Schizosaccharomyces pombe: one gene and its partner. The protein of the gene in region 1 interacts with the protein of each later gene in a pairwise test. Each region holds a gene or a part of one and is shown in the gene's direction. Other genes may lie near its edges. The genes, in order: pcf11 and clr5.

Evidence for each region.
Region 2: the proteins of pcf11 (region 1) and clr5 interact in a two-hybrid assay, tested with the Schizosaccharomyces pombe proteins (one large-scale study listed by BioGRID).

Annotation. Positions count from the first base shown.
Region 1 is NC_003424.3:2,255,050-2,261,312, reverse strand, and holds pcf11 (cleavage and polyadenylation specificity factor), read left to right. Parts: upstream 1-2,126; 5' UTR 2,127-2,491; coding exon 2,492-2,641; intron 2,642-2,689; coding exon 2,690-4,456; 3' UTR 4,457-4,715; coding exon of another isoform or gene 4,716-5,378; 3' UTR 5,379-5,636; downstream 5,637-6,263. Other genes in the region: mpf1 (meiotic PUF family protein 1), read right to left, coding at 1-534, 606-1,370; adenylate kinase Adk1, read right to left, coding at 4,716-5,378; ribonuclease H2 complex subunit Rnh201, read right to left, coding at 5,745-6,263.
Region 2 is NC_003424.3:5,426,370-5,432,253, forward strand, and holds clr5 (silencing factor Clr5), read left to right. Parts: upstream 1-1,986; 5' UTR 1,987-2,037; coding exon 2,038-2,153; intron 2,154-2,749; coding exon 2,750-4,703; 3' UTR 4,704-5,154; downstream 5,155-5,884. Other genes in the region: plasma membrane glutathione transmembrane transporter Pgt1, read right to left, coding at 5,489-5,884.

The DNA of each region.
Region 1 (6,263 bases):
CTTATCTTTTTCTTTACAATTCTCAAAAATGGTTTGCACCACTAAGCTTCCCATCTCACTGACTGAAACTTGAAGCCACTTTCCTTGCATCTTCTTATTAAAATGATCAAAGATTCCATCCACTAATGATTTTCGTCTCGTTTCAAAAAATTTTTGCCATACATGGCAGGAATGTCTTTGCATAAGAGTAGCTGGTAAGCATTCTATAAGCTCTTCAATTAGGTTATTTGTAAATCTTTCTGGATAAATTTCTAATGATTTTTGTAATACATGAGAACCAAACGCGTCAATCGATAACTCCTTCACATGTTTTTTGAGAAAATAGCTAAAACTTTGCAATTGTGCCTCAGTGCTATATTCAAAGCATTTTTGTATCAGAAAGTTTCCGAACTTATTTTTCATTAATGTAACAGAAAACGGAAGAATAGTGTTAATGAGATTAATATTATCCTCAATATCCTCATTCTTAAGTTGCTGTTGCAGAGATAGTGAGGCTGCCTGATCATTTTGAAAGATAATTTGCTCTATCATAGCCTAAAAAAAGAATCATTAGCGAAAGGGAATTTCAATTACATTATGAAGCTTAAATTTGAAGAAAGACTTACCTTCCATTTGCTTATGGTTGCGCTGTACTGTAAAGTCTCTTTGCCAGAATGCACAGAGTTTTTTTCAAACGGCTCGGTTGTTCCATTAGGAAATTCATAAAATAGATTTTTATTTGTTGACTCTCCTGGATCCAAAATTTCATTACCCTTGCTTGCAAATGACATTGAGAACGGCGAAATAAAAGAATAACCGAGATCTATCGGGTCGATTGTTTCATTTTTACTCCATAAAGGAAACTGATCGGTATCATTTAATTTTTTAGGAACCACATTGTCTTTTGCGTCATCCAAGGATTTTGGATGAGTCGAAAAACAATTGTTGGTGCCATTGCTGTTTGTAAAAATTCCAGAAGACAAAGAGCAATTATTTTTGCTAACGGGAAATGTGTCCTTGTTTTTTAGATTACAATTTGTAAGATAGGGAGAAGGCTTTACGCAGGAAGAAGTGGTTGACGAAGTCAGATTTACTTCATTAGATAGCTCTACAGACAAAGTCTCAGGAAGTAACTTAAGCGCTGGCGTTCGTCGAAGAGTTAGGAAACTTTTTGGATTCATCTCATAAATCCTTTCTAATTCTCTTATTTGATCCTTCTTCTTCTGGACCTCTAGAGTAGATGACTCAATCTTTTTTTGCTGCTCCGAAACGAGAGTTTGGAGATAAAGAATTTGAGTAATCAATTTTTTAACATAGTTTACATCATTTGGTGTTTTTGGGAGTTCTAAAGACATTCCAAAGTCAATGGGTCTTTCCTCGTCTCTCTGCATACTTTGGGTATGCTCTTTTAAAAGGCAGAAAAATCAAACAGTAAAACCTAAATGCAAAACTAAATTAATTAAAAAGACTTACTGAGATCAAAAGAGAATTATCCAACTTCCCTTGCCTGGACAAAAAATATGCTTTGGGCGAATTCTGATTAAGGGATTGGAACTTTTGTTTACACTTTTTAAGTAAACAAACCACCAACATTCTTCACGTTCCCTTGCATACAACGAGCCAATACTTCCTTTGATAGTTTTCATAATATATTGATAAATTGATTTAGAATAATATGTATATACTTAACTTTTCCTTTTGTATGCAGCCTTCTTAGATATAAAAACTCAAGTTAGACTTTACTTCAAGAATGATTCATACAATTGAAAGTAATTTACTAAAAAAACATTTAATTTGTGTTTTATATTATCGGTTCCATTACTTTTAGATCTTTAATATCACGTCCCGACAAGAATTACTATCAGATTCACCTTAATAGAGTACGAGTTTCTTTGAATCGTAAACTTTCTAAAATTATGTTGAGGTATATTTACAGATAATCCATAAACCATGCATGCCGAAACTGTTATAAAAAAAAAAGCTAATAAGTTATAAGTTAATATTCTCGTCCATAACTTTAAATAGTACTATAAAAAGGTTAATACATTAATGGGTAAATTTAAATACGCTATTTGCATTAGCACGCTTCACCATATTTTGTAATCTGAGAATGATATACACACAATACATAACCTATTAGATGTATCACATACGAATAACTTCCTTACGAGCAACGCTGCCTTGTCCCATAGACTTCTCTTTAAAAGAAAGAGTTTCCTTTTATTGAAAAAGGATACTGATGCATTGAAAATATCCCAGTACTAATATATCGGGTGTTTTCTATTATCCTTAGTTTTTTGAGACTCTCACGATTACAATTTTGTTTTGTAGTCTGCGTGTGTGTGTTTAAAAAGTAAATATTTTATCATTGTGTACAATATTTTGTTTTAAAAGATATTTTTGAGAAAAGAAAACTTTGGTTTTGACAGTATCGGTTAGATAATTTATCATACTTGACTATAGCTAGATTTGTTTAGCTTTACATTATCCTAAACTCAGAAAAGAGAAGAAAATGGATTTAGTGGAATTGGATTACTTAAGTGCATTAGAAGATTTAACGTTTAACAGTAAACCTATCATCCATACTCTTACTTATATCGCGCAGGAGAATGAGCCTTATGCTATTAGCATCGTGAACGCCATTGAAAAACATATCCAAAAAGTATGATTTAACCTTGATTGAAACATATGTGCTAACTCTTATTTACAGTGCCCACCTAACTGTAAACTTCCAGCGCTTTACCTTTTAGATTCTATTTCTAAGAATTTAGGAGCTCCTTATACTTATTTTTTTGGCCTTCATCTTTTTTCGACATTTATGAGTGCATACACCGTAGTAGAACCCCGTCTGCGCTTAAAACTGGATCAATTATTAGCTACTTGGAAACAACGTCCACCGAATTCAAGTTCTTTGGAGCCCGTATTTTCCCCCATAGTTACAGCAAAAATTGAAAACGCATTACTAAAATACAAATCAACAATTTTGAGACATCAGAGCCCTTTACTTGCTAATACTTCAATTTCATCATTTTCTGCTCCTATTGACGCTAATATTAACTCCTACTCCTCATTTTCCGATCCGGCATCTTCGTACAAACCGTCTTTACCTTCTGTTCCATTTGGCTTTCAGCATATTTCGGGCACCAGTCCTTCTCCTGGATTTATTACACTGGACTCTCTTTTATCTGATGTTAACCGAATGATTGTTACAGAACAAGCTAGATTTATTAAAAATCCTTATGACAACATGGCTAAAAAGCGGTTTGAAATACTATTACAACTCAAAAATGTGCTGTCTTCTTCCGCACTACCTTATGACCAATTGCTGGCTATAAAAAACCAGCTGGCACAATTAGAGAAGCCGGCTTCTCCTTCAACGAGTTCTGTTGCTACGTCTGCTCCCTCCGTGCCTTCTGCATTATCATCTATTTCTTCGACTCCTTTTATGAAACCTTCTATTCCATCTACCATTCCTACAATTCCTTCTGCGTATTCGGCTTCTGTATCTTCGCAACCTCCACTCACTCATTCATATGTCCATCCAGGTCCTCAAAGTCACAAGTATTCGTTATCTTCAGGGCCGCCGGCATCCTTATACAACGCGAACGCGTTAACGCCTGAAGAATCGTCTAGTATAGATTCTCTTTTTGCTAATCTGCAAGCTGCAGGGTTGGTTCCGCCATCTGCTGGTGGTAAGTCTCAAGGTCCACAAGCTTCTTGTACTGAAGCTGTGTCTCTAACAGCAGACATTGACCTTTCTAAATCTTCGCTCGCTACTCCTCGGCCCAAGCTATCTTCTTTGTTATATGAGAATTATTCTAACCAATGCGCAAACTGTGGTAGGCGTTATGGAAATGATCCTGAAAGTAGAAAGGAGTTGGACAAACATTCAGATTGGCATTTTCGGATCAATAAGAGAATTCGTGAAAGTAGCCTTCATGGGATTAATCGCTGTTGGTTTGTGATGGAGGAAGAATGGGTCAATAGCAAAGAAGAGGAAGATTTAATTACAGAGACTGCTCAGGAAATCGAAGAACAGCGTCAAAAGCAAATGGAATCCGTTAGGTCACAATATGTATTGACACCCTTAGATCCAATTGCTGCGTCCGAGCCTTGTCCAATATGTCAAGAAAAATTCCAAAGTGTTTGGCATGAGGAAGCTGAAGTTTGGGTCTTTATGAATGCAGTCGAAGAGGAAGGCCGTATATTTCATGCGACTTGTTTGCAAGAAGTACGCCCGTCAGAAAACAAACATTCAAACACAAATACTAGTACACAAAATTTAGCGGAAGCAGCTGTTTCGTCTAATATTAAAAATGCTACGGGTGACGCTTCGAAGGACTCTCAACCTGATGTTCAAAATTTGTTACAAGGCATTGATATTCAAAGTATCCTTCAAGCACTTGGTAAACGCAAAGAGAGAGACGATTCAATGGATTCAATGTCTTCTAAAGTTATTAAACAAGAAAGCAAGTGAGTTTTGTTTTAACCTCATTTTTCTCGAGCTTTCGGATTTTAGCAATAAATTTGAATCATGTACATACAAAAAATATTTCTATATAATCAGCTAAAATATGAGTTTTACATACTGCTTATAGTAGTATAGCAAACTAAACAGTTTACCGAAAACTTTTGGGTTCAGAATATTCTATATTTATATCCTACGAACACTAGGCAAAAATATCTAAGTAATTGAAAAAGAAAGGGGCCCTTCAGCTCTAACCTAAAAAAAATACTTACTCAGCCTTCTCAAGAATAGCAACGATCTGCTCCCAAACTTGCTCAGGTTTTTGAGCAGCATCAACAGCAGCCCATTTACCCTTCTTTTTGTAAAACTCAACGACAGGAGTAGTTTGTTCGTGATAAGTGACCAAACGCTTGCGCAAAGCATCGGCGTTATCATCGGAACGTTGGATAAGAGGCTCGCCAGTAACATCGTCTTTCATAGGAACTTTAGGAGGATTAAATTCCAAGTGGTAGCTACGGCCAGATCCGGGATGGACGAGACGACCAGTGATACGTCTGACCAAAAGTTCATCATCAACTTGTAACTCAAGGACAGTATTCAAGTCAAGTTTGAGTTCATCAAGAAGAGCGGTAAGCTTTTCAGCTTGGACGACAGTACGGGGGAAACCGTCCAGGATGAAGCCGTTCTTGCACTCAGGATTGTTGAGGATCTCATCCTTGATCATACCAGTGACAATGTCATCGCTGACAAGACCACCCTGATCCATGATCTTCTTAGCTTCTTTACCGAGCTCAGTTTGACGAGCTACTTGAGAGCGCAACATGTCACCAGTAGCAAGATGGGCGATGCCATATTTCTTCTGAATGTTGGGGGCCTGAGTGCCTTTTCCAGCACCTGGAGGTCCAACTAAAATAAGTCTCATGCCAGCCATATTTGATCAAATTGGGTATCTATGCAAAAAAAAAACGAGATTCCACAACAAAGCGGTATTTGGTAGTAGTCTAAAATCGGACTGAGAAGTAAAAGAAGACCACCTAATTTTTATAATAGCGAACTTTAACAAGTCGTTATATTATTGTTGGTGCTAAACCAAACTCAATAAACAGAGCAGAAGCCTGGGGTAAATAGAACAATAAATTTATATTATTTTTATCTATAACCAAATGCTAATAAAGGTTTTCTACGTAGCTCCAAAAGCACGAAGCAATGCAATTAATGATTTTAAGCATAAATGTAAATTCGTATCACTCTCACAATTAGTCTTAGGCAAAAGTAGTGACAGAGTATAGTAACTAAACTAAAAATAAAACTCTGATCCAAACCACGAACGAGAAGCCGGATTCGGTTTCTTTTTCTGTGTAAAGTTCAAAGTAGGAGTATCGTCATCTTCGTGCCAATCTATTTCAATCGAAGACTGTGATTTGGAAGGTAATTCTAGTAAATCCTTAGCGGTTTTCCATGAATATCTAACTATGTCTCCCTTCCATCCGAAAATTTTATCGACATTTACTTTTAACCACTCGGTAGTTCGAGCGTCAGAAGAATATCCAGAACCCCAGTTCTCAGTTCGAATACTTTCACGAGCGCATTCCAGTTGAATATCTCTAGTAACTTTAGCACAGATAGAAGCTAAACTCACGATGGGAAAAAGGGAATCTGCTTTTTTAGTGACAGTGACTTTCGCTTGAGGAAAATGAGCTTGTAATTTTTCCTGGTATGATATTGGAGGTCCTACTGTATCCACGTAAATCTCTGTAACATTTATTCCTGATTCATAAACTTTTTTTATTAAGTCAATTGTCGTATCATGTGCTTG
Region 2 (5,884 bases), 3.2 Mb from region 1:
GTTGGAGAAGAAAAAAAAATTTTATGAGGGTAACGAAATTTGACCCCCATAAATTCGACCCCATACACTAAAACGCAGTAAGACTAATAGATAGGGTGGGAAACACCGAAGCTGATAAAGTAGTGGAGTAATGCCAGTCGTTAAATGAATATATTGTAACGGTGGAATAAGTAATCCATATCACTATATTGGTTCAATGAATTGTTGTGAGAGAGACTGATGGATAAAAATATATACATATAATTTTATTTCCTTTTTTTTTTTTTCTTTTTTGGAGATGGGATTCCTTAGTTTATGTTGATATAAAAATAGAAAAAGACAAATGTAATAAGATCTGCAAAATTCACACAACTTTATGTTTTTGTTCACATGTTACATTCAACTTTATGTTTATTCACATGACTTGATGATTTTATTTTGGCGGACGCAGAGTTTGCCAAATTGAAGGAAATAGAGTTGTGTCTGATATGGATGCGAAAGGTATGCGAGTGGCATAAAACTGGCATCCCAGTGTTACAAAATATATATTTTTTTTTAATATTTAGTTATTCATTTACTTATTGGGTTATATTTACAAGACAGTGTGATGATAATACAAATAATAGAGTGGAGTATGTTATACGAATAAAGTATGTTATGAAAAGTTTCTAATAAATAAATTATGCTATTCCGTATGTTGTATAAATGAAGCTGCTATAAAGTATGTTAAAATTGTATACTAAAAGAATACAAGGTGGATTATGTAGTAAGAAAACAACGAGTCTTACTAGCAAGTTTATAAACTTTCCTCGGGATGAGCGATAGCATAAGTTTTGCAAGGTAAAGGACATCGGCAGTGTCAAGAGGAAGAAGTCGATAAAAAGGAAATACTCGATCAAAGAACTTTAAAATAAATTAAGGAAAAAGAAAGAAATTACCCCAATTATTTTTTAGTATTATTTTTATTTTTATTTTTCTTCTTTCTTTCTTTCTTTTCTTATCCTATTTCTCTTCTTATCCCATGCCTTACCCTACCTTTTCATATCTTACCTTGCCATCCCTTCTATTTCATCTACTATTACCTCTGTCTTGTAACACTTGATGGATGCGTGCATCAGTGTGCTCTCTTTCATGGGTGCTCGCTTCTTCCTCCTCTTCGTCCATCCAAATTAGGTACGTTCGGAGTTGATCATGATTTCGGATTTTCAATTTTTTTTCTCAGACACTCGTCTCCAGATACCCATGTCGTCTCCAAAGCAACCTGTTACTCGTTTGCGAAAAGAAAAAAATACCTTGGCAAGACAAGGCAAGCAGGCATCTCTGCCCAACATTTACTAGCAGACCAAATCGCGAACATGTCAGCTTTCTAACGTTCATCCTTCACTTACTGGAAATGGGACAGAATGCTCTCGTCGAGGATTTAACGTTAAAGGTTATTGTTGAGTTGACAAAAGGTGGAAGAAGCGAACAAAAGAGTTGGTAAAAGAAAAAAGTTGCCGCTAGCGAGTCCACCCTCTACCAATAGATCAAACGTGCCAAAAGACATATGGGATAGCAAAGGCCCAAACTCCCCCAACCCAACCTAACCTAACCTAACCTACCTAAGAGTAGTGTTGAGTAGAATGAGTTTCAGTACTTTGAGTGCGAAAGGAGTAATGAGTTTTGTTGGATGGATAAGAGCAGGGAAGCGCCATCATACGAAGCGGCTTAACAGTGAAACCGAAATTCTCCATGAGCAATATTTAATGAATATCTCACGATGTGATTGGAAAGATGGCAACCATCGATACGAGGTCATTTTTCCGAATGCCTGAGATGATAGAAAAAAGTTGCGCCCTTTTTGGCTATATATTTCTATCCTCTTTGACCCGATGTTCCTTACATGTTTCCGGGGGTGTACCTTGGATCGCTCTATTTTATCATTTAACGTTGTTGTCATTCGTGCACTAAATTGATACACTATTTTCACCCCTACTTTACGAGCCACCACTACCACCAACTCTGGCCACTTCCAATCTCAACTTGAAACAACATTAGACAACCGAAAGTTCGATTTCAATGACGAAGGAATGGGAATGTCGAAGAGAGCAGATCATCGAGCTTTCCAAGATCAATGGAATGACGATTCGCGAGCTGCAGGCGAGAATGTCAAAGATGTATAAATTTGACGCTAGGTAAGTAGTTTGTTGGTGTCGCCGCAGGGACTACAAGTTGCGCCATTTTGTGCGAGATGCTTGCGATGCGACGAGGAGCGAATAAGTACAGGGCTAGAGGTACGAGAAGGTGAATGGAATTGTGTGTTTGGATGTTTGGGTGTAGGTCGTCGTTGTGTGTCGTGCCTGCATGGACATTGGCTATTGTTGGGTATGTGGGGTTGCGACAATAAAACAGGATGGCAGTTTTCCAAAACATCCTCAACTGAGACATTCATTCAACAATGAAATTTTGTTTCTTTGTTTCTTTGTCTTTTTGGTTTGCTGTTTTGTTTGGAATATCTTTTTTTTCATCCACTTTGTCCAATCCACTTACATACAGGATACAAATGTCCTAAACAATAACCCGTCATGTATATCATGTGCATGCTCATGCAAAAGACCATGCCATATGAATCCATCCTGTTTTCCTTTCCTCTATTTCATTTGGCGTTGCGTTGAAGTTGTCTTTCGCTACTTCGTTTTCGCTCACGTTTATGTTCACGTATCGCGTACTTGTCTCTTTAGCTCTTTTTTTTTGTTGTTTTGTTTCATTACTCTTGCTAACTTTTCTCTAGTATTCGCTCATACAAACGCGTGTTGGCTCGATGGGGAATTCGAGTACATCGTCAACGTTTTGTCTCGCCCCGAACCGAAGAGGCCGCCGCGCGAACCGCTTCGGGCGACGTTTCAAAGGCTCTCGATGAACTCGTTACCCAATTATTTCATGCGCGACAAAGTGATAAAGATTCTTTGGCCCAGATAGAGGCGAACTTTGGTTTAAAACTTTCGAAACGTGCTTTGCATTATCGTCGTAAGAGATTAGCCTTAAAGCGTCCTCCTCCTGACTCCCACGATTCTCCCAATAACTCTATCCCTTTGATGGCCAACTCTTGTCTTTTGTCTGCTGATAACTCTTCGTCGTCTACAACTTCCAATCCTAACGTTGCTCCTCCCATTAGCACTCTTCCTGATCCCGTCGCTACTATATCATCTTCTTCTTCGAGCCATTTAGATATGGGTGCCATCCATCCTCCTCACCATAGCTCGCTTCCCCCTCACATGGGTGTGGATCCTTCAACTATGGCTGATGCACACAATGCGCACTCTTCTTTGACTCCTCCACAGTCTGGCTATTCTAGCATGCCATCTCTTCCTTATTTGCAGCAGCCTTTCCAAATACCCTCTCAACGTTTCTCTCGACAGCAACAATCTCATCCATTCCCTGCTGCTCAACATGCCGTTAACGGTCAGCCACAAGCTTTGTATCCTTTCATCTACCAATCTAGAAATGTCCCAATGGGCTCCACCATGTTTGCTTCTTCAAACCAATCTGCTGCTCATCCTGACGGTAATAATGCCCTTCCAATGGACAATACTCATGCCAACATATCCTATATGCAATCATCACAATCGATGCCTGTTAATTCTTATTCCTATGATCGATATACTCCAAATCAACCATCTTATCTTGAAAGTAAGCCTGGAAATCACCAACCCAGTTATACATCTGAACAACCTATGTATTCTACAGCGTCGGTTCCTCAACAAATTTCTAACGGACCAACTGCTGTCAATGGATTACCCATGAATTCATACACACCTCATTCCAATCATCTTCATTCACCCTCTCCTAACTCAAATTCAGGGCCTACTGATTCTTTGTCTGCTCCTAATTCTACATCCAGCCCTTCAATGGCGCATGCAAATGGAGCTTCTTTTGCAAGTCAGTACCCCTCTCTAAACAAGTCCATTTTTCCAGCTTCATATTCTTCTTCAGCGGAGGATGGGCAAAACATGCAAGCACCAGCACATGCTTATATGCAGTCTTCCATTTACGGCGTTAATCAAGAGCAAAAGTCGGAATATCCTTCTAATCTTTCAATGCAGTCTTCCATGTCAATTAAAGACCCCTCCCAGTTACAGCGTATACACTTATACCCTCAGCATTCTCAATACGATCCTAATGGAATGACTATGCGCGATCACTATTCTGAACGAATTGAACCGGAGGCAAAACCATCCGATGAAACTCTGACTGTCCGTTCATCTCGTGATTTATCTGTTCATAACGTTGGTACGTTACCTGTGCTAAGTGCCGCTGCTGCAACGCAGGCTGCAATGCCTCATACAATGGGACCCTCTGCTCATGACTCAGCATCAGCACCTAGCCCGCATATGCAATCGCAGCAAGCTCTACCGTATCAATATTACAATCCTCTCCCCGCTATGGCTGATCCAGCACAGAATGTTCCTCAACAGCTTCCTCCTCCCATTCACTCTCATTTATCTGATGACCAGCATATCCAATACTCGTATCCCAACACATTCGTTAATAGATTTCCTCAGAACATTCACCATCCTTCAGCTAATCTATTAGATGCAAGTGCGGCTTTGAATCCAGTACAAAATCCATTGCTTATGCCCCAACAAAACCATGAGCATTCTCCCCTGGTTCGTTCAGATGCAGCTTTGCATGACCATGGACCTTTACTTCCTGTTTATCCAGATGTAGATTCTCGTTTCGTTTAGTTTAGGTTAGTATTGCCGCTTGTTGCACTTTGCGGTTTTGACCATTTCCATGGTGTTGCTCTATTTATACTAGTACCTGTATCTTTAGTTGGTCCTTTCTGGCATTCCCTTTTGGTTTCTGCTTTATTATCATTTAGATGTTTTTTAATTTTTTTCTTCACCATTCGCCCTACCTGCCTAATGTGAGTTAAATTATATTGCCATTTGTGTCAGTATCTGGTATATGGACAGGCAAGCCCTTCTTTTTTAATAAAAGAACCTTTTGCGTTAGCTCTTATTTGAGCTAAGTTCATTTTTGATTCTTTTTTGCTCTTAATCGTTTTGTCTTTTTGCTTTGTATATAATTTTAGAAACTATTTTTAATCAAGGTCGACCGGTACTTTCGTATACGAGATCCTATGTACATAAAAGTTATATATTTAATAATAGTTATTTTTATTTTGCTTATACATTCGGTTTTTACTATTTACAAACTTTAACCAACCTTGAATAGTTATCATAGTAGTGGATTCAGTAAAGTATTATATTTAATAAGCTGTGGAAATGTTTCATTCAACAAATTATGAGTAACCGGACGTTTTTAGGTTTTTAAAAGCCTTAAAATAGAACGGATTTGGCCTGTTGAACTGACAAAGCATATCACACCATCTTGGTAAAATATATAATGTACAATATAGATCGTTCTTAGAGGGTATCAAAATAACGATTGTTAAAATGCTTTTAAAAAATGTGCTTAAATACAATCGGAAGAGCAGGAGAGAGCACTAAACGCCTTAAAATAGCTTTTACCAATTGGTGTAACCAAAGGTTTCGTTTGGCCCAAGTGACCTATATGGCACACTTTTCCAATCATAAGTTTTAGTGTACACAGTGTTTCCCCACCAGGTTATCTTACCTCCAGGGTATGATACACATAAGAAAATTACTACTCCAGCGACTGCAACCCCAGAATCCATAGCTGCAGCCAGTACGTAGTTGTACTTCCTCCACCAGTGTATCGCGCGCTTTCTAATCACATAATTAAATATAAACCCAACAATTGCCCAAGAAGAATAGTTAATTCCAGTAGCGGGAGGAATATTGCCAGGACCAGTGAAAAGGACCGGAGCATTAAGCTTTCCAATCCACGACTTAGGAAACCTTTTTCTCAAACCCCATGTTATAAAAGGAGCAACTGCACC